Linked DNA regions of Bombyx mori. The protein of the gene in region 3 binds, or shares a complex with, the protein of the main gene of each other region. Links are inferred from orthologs where the notes say so. Each region holds a gene or a part of one and is shown on either strand. Other genes may lie near its edges.

Region 1 (3,357 bases), on a different chromosome or scaffold from region 3:
AGGCTATGAAGAGAATTACTTTTTGGTGAGTCTGTGTGTTGGTTTTGGATAGCATTTGTGCTGTCTCTTGATAATTACTGGTTTACTAATTTACTGGTGGTAGGACTTCTTGTGAGTCTGCGCACCATCACCCGGCCTATTTCTGCATGAAGCAGTTATGCTTTTCGGTTTGAAGGGTGGGGCAGCCGTTGTAACTATACTTGAGCCTTAGAACTTATATCTCAAGGTGGGCGGCGCATTGCCGTCGTAGATGTGTATGGGCTCCAGTAACCATTTAACACCAGGTGGGCTGTGAGCTCGTCCACCCATTGAATTCAAAGAAATTCAATTTTAATTTATTTGAGACCACAGTCACATAGATTGGTGCATTGAGATTATATTTATTTCAAAATAACATTTCATACGTGTTTCTATACCTATGTTATGCAACAGGTGGTGCGTAATCACTGTGTTTACTACAATGAATTGGAAACGAGAGTTCGTCTGTCGAAACGTCGAGCCCGCGCTGGAGCAGCTGCACAAGCCCCGACTAGGCTGGTGGTCACGCATCGTCCTCTCAGTAGCACCGAACATCGTATGCTGAGACTTAGAGAGAAGCAACTTGAGCCTCCACAAGTAAGACACCTATAAACATACTAACATGCTTATACATACTAGCTTAAAAATATTAATTCATACCCACAGAAAGCTACACTGGCACTTATTCGCACCATGTGAGCGAAGTTGCAGCTATTTAATGATAAATCTCAATTAAATTATTCGAAAAGTTATCTGTCACTTGTATAAAATTTGTTTATAATAGGATGAAGACGAGGAGGAGGAGGAAGAAGAAGATGAAGAAGAAAAGCAGGAACAGAGCGGCGAGAAGGAAAGGTAATCATTTGAAACAGTTACAGTTTGTTCTTATAAATATGATGATAATGATGAACAAGCCTGTCTGAGTACCTGCAACCATTCTGCCTATTTCACGAACTCAAGTCATAAATACCAGTTTGAATAACGGGTCAACTGTCTTGTAATAAAACTGATACTTGAATCTCTTATACAATACTAGCTTCTACCCTTCTGCTTTGCTGGGCATTTGAAATTAACATTATTATTTCTCACCCCCACAAAGATTCTCATCGCCCCCGCAACTGGTGTAAGGAGTCCAACGCTTATATAGATATTGGCCTATCCATTAAGTACAATGACATGTATTTTCTACATGGATACCAAGTTTCAAGTCAATCGGATGCATGGTTCATATCAGTCATCTATTATCAAAGGTGGCAATCTGTGCATTTGGACAAAAAAATGTTATTGATATGTCAATACAGATTGATTTGAATATAATCGTCTCCTTCAAAGAATACGGTTCAAAACCTGCATTAAATAAAGGTTAATAGTTAACCTGTTATTTATCTAAGATGTCGTTCAGAAGAGTTTTGTGACTGCCAATGGAATACAAAGTCAATAATTCGTTTTTCTGATTTACCAATAATTGTCCAAAAGTTACATTGCCGGCTTTGATAATAGTCGACTCATATATTAGTATAGATTAAACCAATCTGAATTACCCATTCTTAAAAGCAGTGTTTTTATTAGAATTTCTATTATTAAAAATGTGATTTAATTACACATACACCATAAGATAGCATAGCCTGTTTAAATTCTAAGTTAACACGTTGACCGCCATGTAGGTCACTGGTGCCCTACGCGGCGCACTGAGGTAATTATGTCGATCTCTATTACTAAGCGCTAGGATTGCTTAATCTTGCCTTCTTTTGTTTTTAATATAATAATAATATGTTTTAGTATTTTAGAAATATATTCATTCTCAGTATCTTCGAATTCTTTCCCAGCGACTACGAGATGTTTCAGTGCCTTAGTAAGAAGATCGAAAAGAGAGAAATCGACATAATTACTTGAGTGCGCCACGCAGGGCACCGGTGACCTACATGGCAGTCAACGTGTTAATTTCACATCAATAGGTCTCGTTCGCGATCAAAATCGGGTTCGAAGTCTCCTCGTGGCTCCGAGAAGTCCAAAGGCTCGGGAAGGTCCAGGTCGCCGTCACGCGAGAAGTCGAAGTCGCGTTCGAGGTCAAGGAGTCGTTCTCGGTCCGCTTCCGGCTCTAGGAACTCGAGATCTCGTTCAGGATCGGCACGTTCTCGGTCACCGAGGTAAACAACATTTTATATATCGACGCTTGAAAGGCAAACGTGACTAAGCGGTATTGCGTGAACTTTACAGTAGACTAATTTAAAGTTGAAATACCTGAAAACAAAATTATATTTTAACGAATCTAGCTGTAGGATTGAAATGATTTTAATAGACCTAGAAATACATTTTTTTTTTGCTCATCGAATATAGTTATTGCCTATCATTTATGTACAAAGCAGTTATTGTCGCTTAGTCACGTTTGCCTTTCAAGCGTTGATATGCAACTAGTAATTTGAGGCCGTCAGCGCAAAAGTGGCCTAACCCACAATTAACATAATCATGTCTATAATTATATTGTATTGCAATTTATTTAAAATATAATAAATTTTGATGCAAAACCGGCCTATCAATAGTTTCACCCATAGATAACAGATGGCTTTGTAAATTAGATCTTTTGTTTTTGTAATCGGTATTTTAGATTTCAGTGTAGTGGTTTTTTTTTTTCATAAAATATCATATGAAGTTTTGAGTACCTATACAGTACATGTGGTTTTTTTTCATTGCTTAAGTAGTTAATGGGGCCCTTAGACATGGAAAACCTACACACGTGGGCTCACACCCTACTCCAAGCAATTACTCTATACATTTTTGTGAATTTGATATTTGTTTTACAATGTTAAAGTCATTTGGGAACACCCATTTTGAGATCTTTCTCATAAATTTTTTTTCATTCATGTCAGTAGAACGATTCAGTGATGGAGTGATGTGTAAAATGGCTCTTTCCCTTCGAATCACTTCAATTATTATTATTTTTTGCAGATCTGGTTCAGAGCGTTCTCGGTCACGTTCAAAGTCTGGCTCGAGGGCGTCTTCAAGAGCCAGTTCCAAGAGCGGGGCGGGTTCTCGCGCCAGTTCCGCTTCGAGAGGATCCCGTGCTACTTCTAAAGCTAGTGATAAAGTAAATGACATTATTTTTTCACGCTTTATATTAGCTTCACTTGTGGTGGTAGGACCTCTTGTGAGTCCGCATGGGTAGGTACCACCACCCTGCCTATTTATGTCGTGAAGCAGTAATGCCTTTCGGTTTGAGTGGGGCAGCCTTTGTAACTATACTTGAGACCTTAGAACTTATATCTCAAGGTGGGTGGCGCATTTACGCTGTAGATGTCTATGGGCGCCAGTAACCACTTAACACCAGGTGGGCTGTGAGCT
Region 2 (4,453 bases), on a different chromosome or scaffold from region 3:
TTGAAAAAGTCTCCTCCATAAATCCTCCATAAGTGGTTGGAAAACTCGCCGAAATGGAAATGACATGAATTAGTAGTTTTAAACAGAGTGTGCTGGGTTAAAAATTGTAATATTTTTCGTGACTTGTGTAATTAAAAATATTATTATGCATTATACAAAACCTCAACTAAATACTATTTATTGTTACTACTATTTACATAGGAAGTGATTCCTTCCTTCTTAATTTAGTATTTTTTTTTTTAATTTTTAATGGCTTAGTTTGGTGGACGAGCTCACAGCCCACCTGGTGTTAAGTGGTTACTGGAGCCCATAGACATCCACAGCGTAAATGTGCCACCCACCTTGAGATATAAGTTCTAAGGTCTCAAGTATAGTTACAACGGCTGCCCCACCCTTCAGACCGAAACGCATTACTGCTTCACGGCAGAAATAAGCGGGGTGGTGGTACCCACCCGTGCGGACTCACAAGAGTAATTACCACCTAGAGAGTAAGTACCTACCACCAGTAATTACGCAAATTTATAATTTTGCGGGTTTGATTTTTATTACACTATGTTATTCCTTCACCGTGAAAGTCAATCGTGAACATTTGTTGAGTACGTATTTCATAAGAAAAATTGGTACCCACCTGAGATTCGAACACCGGTGTATCACTCAACACGAACGCACCGGACGTCTTATCCGTTAGGCCACCACGTCGATGACTTCAAAGTAAATTATACTATTATAGTATTTTAATACAATGATAGGTTTGTGGCACTGTTTTAAAATATTTCCAGTTGCTAGTATGGCGCTACCATAATTCATTCCCTTTCAGCTGACACATTTTCACATATTGAGATGGCACTCCTTACTTCTACCCTCCATAGTCGTGGCCGAAAGGATATGCATTCGTGTCTTGCGATGCACCGGTGTTCGAATCCTGCAGGCACCAGGCACCAATTTTTCTAATGAAATAATTACATAACAAATGCGTAATTACTAGTGGTAGGAAATCTTGTGAGTCCACACGAAACTTAAAAAAAAACTATTATTTGCCTATAAATTGCCTATAAAAAAATCCCTATTTTTGGCGTGAAGCAGTAATGCGTTTCGGTTTGAAGGATAGAGCAACCGTTGCACTGTAAAAACTAAGACCTAAGAACTCATATCTCAAGGTAGGTGGCAGCGTTTACGTTATAGATATCTATGGAGTCCAGTGACCACTTAACTTCAGGTGCGCCTTAAGCTCGTTCACCCACCTAAGTGGGTAAGCTAAAATTTGGACATTGGCGGGAACACGTGAAGCGTACTTCTGGTTTAAATGTGTAATAACGGTGGTTTATTAACTGTTTAGCATCTGTGAAAGTGCATAGATGTAAAATAATGAAACGAAGCAGCTTGTCGTAGCTTCTCGAGTTCTTTCAATAATTCCATTGAAAAATTCTTAGTAAATGACCACTGTTTTACTGACACTATATTTTGGCCTTATATAATTTCATTTCATTTGATTTCATTCCAAATTATTAATGGCTCAAATTAATCAACTTCATTTCATTTCCTTCCAAATAATTTTTAAAAAGACACATACGAAAGATAAGGCTGTATGGTTTGATACCTACGCCTTTTCAGCTAGAAAAATGGAACTACTATTTTAGAAATGTTCACCATGGATGTTCAATGTGTTTCGTTTTCTGTTTATCCCGGTTAGTTTTTTAGGCCGGGGTGTAAAGTTACTTACAGTATATTTAATAGAATTGGTGTCATTATTTTTACTTGACTAGTCCGAGAGAAAATAAACATAAAGTTGAGTGTGAAGTTATCATGGCGGACCCACTCAGTTTACTTCGTCAGTATAACGTAAATAAAAGAGAAATAATTGAACGCGATAACCAAATAATATTCGGTGAATTCTCTTGGCCAAAAAATGTTAAGACAAACTATCTTATTTGGAGGTAAGTACTTTGTGTTATTATTGGAAAATAAACTTTGAAAATGTTGAGCCTTATTGTACCCATTTATGCAATTTTTTAGATCTGGAAAGGAAGGCAGCGTTAAAGAGTATTACACCTTGGAATGCCTTCTTTTTATTCTCAAGAACATTCACCTGACTCATCCAGTATATGTCAGGCAGGCTGCTGTAAGTGAAGTTTAGTTATAAATAAAACATGTATGGTTGATGTTCCACATAACACATTATTGATCTCAAAAAAATTTTAGGCTGCAAATATACCACCTGTGCGTCGTCCAGATCGTAAAGAGCTATTAGCATATCTAAATGGAGAGACTGCTACTTGTGCCTCTATTGATAAAAGTGCACCCCTTGAAATTCCGACTCAAGTGAGTAAGAAAGTTTATAAATAACACTTTCACTAGACTAGACTGTAGGACCAATTAATGTGAATTTTATTCCCATTTATTGATTGAAGTTATTAAGTGATTAAACTACTACATAGGTGAAACGCACACTTGATAATGATGGAGGAGAATCTGCTGCAAAAAAACCTCGAATTGAGGAAACTCATGTTCAGAAGGTCCGAGAACAACTGGCAGCCAGGCTTGATGCCCCTAAGGAAGCTTCAGTCACAGTGGACAATATCAAGTAATTCATCCAATTTATAATAATATTAATTTTTTTAATTTTATATCACTTAGCTGAACCTACTATTATACAAAATATATCAGGTGTACATTCTCAATGAGTTAGTAGTTTCATCATGTGCAAAAATGTGCAATTCCTATTACTTTAATGGAAATGAGCTTTAACAATAAAGACAAATCAAATATGTATACATAATTTGTCCAATCATATTGTACTACGAATTTAGACTATAAAATTAGGGGCCAGAAGCTTTAATGGAATTAATTATGCCATTAGTTTGCAAACAGTATGAAGCATGAAAGAATAACATAAATATCTTAATAATTAATAAGATGCTATGAGGTCAGTTATCAGTAAAAACTAGTTTTATTTGTGGCCAGTGGCCACTGAACCATTTTGGTGATTTTGTTGCATTCAGCTAAAATAATCGACAAAAAAATAATAGGTTTACTTCAGGTTGTTTTAATTGTTTTTATCAGTCTTCTGTATGTTGAAAAATTACATTTGTTGTTCACGGAAGGTGGCCAAAGGTCCAAGTAGTGTGTAGTCTATTTGCCTTAACAGAACAGGAACTATGGTCGTTTTCTTGCAATTTTATGGGTCATTGTCATTGCCTCTAGGCATTTTTTATTATTAACAAAATGTAGTGTGATAACATAAATTCACCTAGACTTTGTGAATTATATCTAAGAACTGTATATCATCATTCATCATGAAGTACTCCAAATTCAGTGTTCCAAGATCTCTTAAAATTTGTACATGTATAGGTTTTATCACAATAAAACTCGTGTAGTTCTTTAATCATAAATATACTTAAGAAGACCAAGTCTAAAGTACCTTGTGGCTCTCGATGAAATTTAGAAAATGAATTTAAAAAAAATCTTTAGTTCTAAGCAAACAATTTGGGTATTTGTCTTTTTTTCTATATCAATAATCTTTAATTACCCCTTCTCTAATCTTTTTGATTTAAAAGATGATCCACACCACACAGTCACCACATCAAATATTCGATATCTAAATAGGTGTAAACATATGTATAAATATCAATATGTACAGAAAATAAATAAATTATAAGTGTTTTCTCTTCTAATTGAGTAATTGTTTCCAATTTTTAGATCCCTTTCTGAAGCTATGTCTGTAGAAAAAATTGCAGCAATCAAAGCAAAACGATTAGCTAAGAAAAGAACCACAATCAAAAGCAATGACTATTCTGATACATTGGGTGTAGTCGGTTCAGACTTAAGAGCCATTCTTGACTATGATGTGGATCTTACTAAAGATATCATCAGCCGAGAAAGGCAGTGGCGGACAAGAACAACAGTATTACAAAGTAATGGGAAAGTAAGTAGACAGCTAAGTATTTATAATTACAAAATATACATCTTTAAAATTCTCCACTTAGCACATGTGAGAAGTGTTGTAATTAGATACGTCTGCATAATACAAATTGATTACTCTTGAATTTTCATTACATTCATGCGTCATTATAGATCTATTATAAGACAATTTAATAATTGATGGTGTTATCTTTAAAATTATAATATATTAAATGAAATTGAATATTGTAGATGTTTGCTAAAAGCATATTAGCTCATTTGGCGAGCATCAAAGCTAGAGAAGAAGGTAGACCTGGGATTCCGAGAGCACAACCTGTTATTTTGCAACAGCCTACTGTATTACCTGCACAACAGACACAGTATAACAGATACGATCAGGAAAGATTTATACGTCAAAAGGAAGGTTTGTAGAGTATACAGAGTCTGTATTTTAGTTTTGTCTTTTCTGGCATGAAGTAGTCATGTGCGTTTTATGGATGGTAACTTATTGAATTGGTTATTGAAACAACTGCAAATTTGGCTTCCGATAGATCAC
Region 3 (4,399 bases):
AAAAAATGATTGGCCAAATGATTTAGAACCATAGGATTTTTTGGGTCAATAGCATAGGCTTTAGACAACATAATAACTGCTATTTTGTTTGATTCACTCTCCTGCAGATTTAATTTTAAAATGGAAAGTCCCACTAAAGCACCTACACATTGTGGATCTAATTGTAAAGCTCTTTCAAAGGCCATCCTGCAATAAATATATTTATTATTTCTTCTTCTCAGTCTTTTGCACTCTTGACAGAGTGGTCGTGGTCATCATTTGGGGTGGTGGTGCGCTTTACAAGAGGTCACCATTTCTACAATGCTTTAAAACTATATATATATATATATATATATATGTGTGTGTACTTCTTTTTTTTTGTATGCAATGTAGTACCCCTAGTTTTGTTCATACAATATAATAGAGATTTCAATCTCATGTCTTAAGATATGGGCTCCAGTAAACACTACAACAGATATACTGTATGACTTTTGATCAAAATTACACTTCTTTTTCCTCTTATACCATATATGTCAGGTTGGGACGGCATGACCGCTTATCATGCGGCATTGGGCGTTGATATGTCATGACACAACATAAGTTTACGACATACCGCCTGCTTGGGTTATATGTCCAAATACTCATTGCAATATGCCATAGGGAGGGACTTTTTCTGTTTTTCACTTTGGTATTTCTTTAACTTTTAATGGAAATGATTGGATTTGAAACTTTTGTTTAAAGCTTATTCACAGTTTTCTATTGATATGCAAATATGTCTAAAAGCCCAAGCTGGTGAATTAACATATTTGACATGAATGGGATCACAAGTTACACATAAACAAATACTTCGAAATCTCAAGTGCAAAGGATTAAGTTACTCTGCTATTCAAACTGAAACAGTTTCTTAATAGCAGTAATGGACCAGGACCTCCAGTATCCAAAATCAGAATTTGCAGACAAGCCATAATTATTACGATATAGATACCTGGCTTTCTCCTGATTATTCAGCTTCATAAAACAATGTCCCATACCCAGTCTCAAAGCGGCTGGGCTGTCTGGATTTGTTCTAAGTGCTTTCTTATAAAAAGCAAGTGCCCCTCTGTAATCTTTACGATTGAAAGCTATGCAAGCTTTACCGAGCAATGAAGGCACATTATTTGGGGATTGATTTAGGACAAAGTTGAACTGAGCATCAGCCTGTTCCATTTTGTCACCTTCCAATAAGCAGAAATATGCTCTACCAAGAAGATGGTTCTGGAACATTTCACATTATTAGAAAATAAAGCGACAATTAGCAATGATTAACTGATGCATTATTTTTCACTTGCCTGATCATACATAATAATTTTATCCGCCATAGTGTACAATAATGTTGCCTTTGTAAATAGTTCTTTTTTCTTATCTTTTGACTTCTCTTTGTTAGCTTCTTGCACATAGTATGCGGCCAACATGTCGAGAGCCCGCATCTGATCTCTTTCGAAATCCCGATAGTCAATGTTGGCATCTGTACGTGATGCTTCCAGGATCTTGAGGAAGTCATCGATTTTCTTTTGTTTGTAATATGCGAGCTAAACATAAAAAGTTGAAAACTTTTAACTGGAGCATAAAGTCAGTCACACTTAAGATGCAGAGCAACTGTTTCTTATTATATAACAGGTTAATAATAAATATGAATGTCCCGAAACTCAAATTGTACAAATTCCTTTTTATTATTTATTTTATTAATTTCAACCACAACAAACTACATTAGATCATATCAAATTCCACCTGATGTATGTATACAAATACATATCGAAGAAATTATATTGTGTAATAAAATTATTAATATGATAACCATAATTTTTATGAATTTGCATATTTATTCATATATTCATAGGGTGCATTGTCTACCCATAAGATACCACAAAGCTGCCTATTCCCATGACGTAGTCATACTTTCAAATTTTTTGTGACATTTACACTGCTGACACACATGTCAGCATGTTGGCAGTGTTTGCTTCATAATATCTAACACCCCCATTACGATAATTGTAGGCAATAAAAATAATGAAAATGTGTACTCCGAATTATGTATCATAAGTGTGAAATTATTTTATGATTGTATATTTAACATATTTTGATGTAAGTCTAAAAGAACGAAGAAAATTGCAGTTAATGTTTATATTTAAAACTGACATTATAAGTTTAAGGTAAAGTAATTTGTGAAAGTTCTTTGTAAACATATTTACTCAACTAATTGTTAAATGATCATTTACAGTTGAAAAACCTTTTTTAATTAAAGATTTTCTTGCATTTTATATTAGTTCATGTATTTGCAACGTTGTGATTGGTATAAAGTTTTAATTTTTTTCGTCTGCTATGATTATTTTCCCATAATAGAATAATATCGAGGTTAGGTTAACTCACTGCAACATTAATCCAAACATTGAGTTGTGAGCGTTCTTGTTGTAAAATACTGAGCACCTCATCGCCGGAAGGTAATTGTTCTGGATCCAGGTCAATCACCTAAAGAAATCAAATATTAATATAAAAATGTTACACGAACACTTTTTAAACGCCAAACTGAATTAGAGTTTTTATTTCACCTCGTCGGTGCTCATTAAAGGTATTTCCAGCGACATCTTGATTTTTTTATTTTTAATTACTTCATTATACAAAATTCACTAGTTTGCTAACTAAAATTTACCAAAACGTATATTTATCGCGTTTTTTGTGTATGTACAACATACTAAAAATTTTTTTTTTTTTTTGGAGTTTGTGGCCTGGTTTCTAGACCTTTAGGCCAACATATTACAACATAATCCTGTTGAGCACAGATTAGTATAATCATAGAACATATATCATTTTACTCTAAAGATATATATCACTCATCTAGCTCACTAGCCCATTTAGATCACTAGCTCAGTGATCCAATTCAATTGATTGGTCTGTCAATTAATTTATTTTTTCATCTTGATCATTTAGCTCAGTATACATATATCACTCACTTTAAATCTCTCTCACTTACACAAACCTGTCTTTAACTTTTATATTAGCCTAAGCTAGTTCTCGGAAGATCTTTTTTTTCAGTTTTATTAGTTTGTACATTAGACATTGTTCACGCATCTGCAATGCTGAGGATCTCGATCCGTGAAATTATCGTATCTGTATTTTGTCATTAGTATTATTATATTGGTATTATTGTATAAATTTTCGCGACCAATTATAATCGAGCTGTGTGTGACGCTATCACGCTAGGAACGTGTGCGGTTGCTATTGGATAAAAATATTGTTCCCTGACCCCATCATCATATAAAACTGTAAAATTGCTAATTCAGAATACACATGCCAACTGGTATCTCAAAAAATAAACATCTTTTAATTTAACAGAATACAGTCCTCAAGTCCAAAAGAAAATCAAAAGTCAAGTACAGCATATCTATTGGCGCTACACACATTATACATATTAAATTGATTTTCTTTTGATTAACTTTTTTAATTTTTTTTTTATATAGCATCGCATCCGTCGTAATATTAACTTCTCTAATTAATTTTTTTTTTTTTCTCTTATGTTTTAATGTCTCGTAGCGATCTGTTTTTCAGTTAACAATGAGCTATTCCTCTGGCTGAATTTATTCTTAATAGATTTATAAACAGAATCAGATATCCAGTGACACCTTCATCTTTTATTGTTAGATTTAATTTCTGTTGTGTAAGGTAGGTATACTGTGCCTCCTTAATCTAGTAAACTGCACAGCTCCTGTGCCTCCTAGGTCCGACGCCAATTTATTGACGTGTGTCGATAACCTGGCTTGATATTTTTTGCTGTAAGCTACTATTTCCTCTTTCACTGTGGGAATATTTAGGTCCATTTGTATGATCTTGTTGCTTATGTAATGCGGTATTCTTAGCATTGTTCTGAAAGTTTTATTTTGAAACCTTTCCAGGATCTCGACGTTGCTATTGCTGGCAGTTCCCCAAAGCTGTATGCCATATGTCCATATTGGCTTTAAGATGGTTTTGTAAATTAAAATTTTACTTGTTGGCGAAAGCTGGGATTTCCCTCCAGTCAACCAGTACATATTTCTTAGCCTTATGTCTAATTGTTTTCGCTTAGACCAGATGTGCTTTTGCCATGTCAGTCTTCGATCCAGATGTATGCCAAGATATTTTGCATCTTCCGCTTGCGGTATGTTTTCGTTATATAAGCTTACAGGTGGACAGGTTTGTTTCCTGAGGCTGAATGTAACGTGGGATGATTTGCTTTGGTTTACTTTAACGCGCCACATATTAAACCATTTCTGAAGGTCATCTAGATGTGATTGTAAGTTTTCAGAAGCTGTTGTAGGGTCGTCATGAACAGACATTATAGCTGTATCATCTGCGTATGTTGCAATGATAGTGTTTCTGTTAGTGGGTAAATCTGCTGTATAGATGAGGT

The links.
Region 1: RNA polymerase-associated protein CTR9 homolog (region 3) and RNA polymerase II-associated factor 1 homolog share a complex: the UniProt entries of both Caenorhabditis elegans proteins name them as parts of the PAF1 complex. The link is inferred for Bombyx mori from reciprocal best matches to the Caenorhabditis elegans genes ctr-9 and pafo-1.
Region 2: RNA polymerase-associated protein CTR9 homolog (region 3) and parafibromin share a complex: the UniProt entries of both Caenorhabditis elegans proteins name them as parts of the PAF1 complex. The link is inferred for Bombyx mori from reciprocal best matches to the Caenorhabditis elegans genes ctr-9 and cdc-73.

What each region holds. Positions count from the first base shown.
Region 1 is NC_085120.1:5,060,665-5,064,021, forward strand, and holds part of RNA polymerase II-associated factor 1 homolog, read left to right. Parts: coding exon 1-25; intron 26-432; coding exon 433-615; intron 616-802; coding exon 803-873; intron 874-1,555; exon of another isoform or gene 1,556-1,973; coding exon 1,974-2,165; exon of another isoform or gene 2,166-2,259; intron 2,260-2,964; coding exon 2,965-3,103; intron 3,104-3,357. UniProt on the Caenorhabditis elegans protein: Component of the PAF1 complex which is a multifunctional complex involved in transcription initiation via genetic interactions with TATA-binding proteins, elongation and transcription-coupled histone modification.
Region 2 is NC_085121.1:7,757,498-7,761,950, reverse strand, and holds the start of parafibromin, read left to right. Parts: upstream 1-1,588; 5' UTR 1,589-1,803; coding exon 1,804-1,934; intron 1,935-2,013; coding exon 2,014-2,119; intron 2,120-2,199; coding exon 2,200-2,319; intron 2,320-2,435; coding exon 2,436-2,581; intron 2,582-3,696; coding exon 3,697-3,922; intron 3,923-4,149; coding exon 4,150-4,321; intron 4,322-4,453. UniProt on the Caenorhabditis elegans protein: Component of the PAF1 complex which is a multifunctional complex involved in transcription initiation via genetic interactions with TATA-binding proteins, elongation and transcription-coupled histone modification.
Region 3 is NC_085129.1:3,976,455-3,980,853, reverse strand, and holds the start of RNA polymerase-associated protein CTR9 homolog, read right to left. Parts: upstream 2,809-4,399; 5' UTR 2,601-2,808; coding exon 2,565-2,600; intron 2,485-2,564; coding exon 2,386-2,484; intron 1,548-2,385; coding exon 1,308-1,547; intron 1,234-1,307; coding exon 965-1,233; intron 187-964; coding exon 1-186. UniProt on the Caenorhabditis elegans protein: Component of the PAF1 complex which is a multifunctional complex involved in transcription initiation via genetic interactions with TATA-binding proteins, elongation and transcription-coupled histone modification.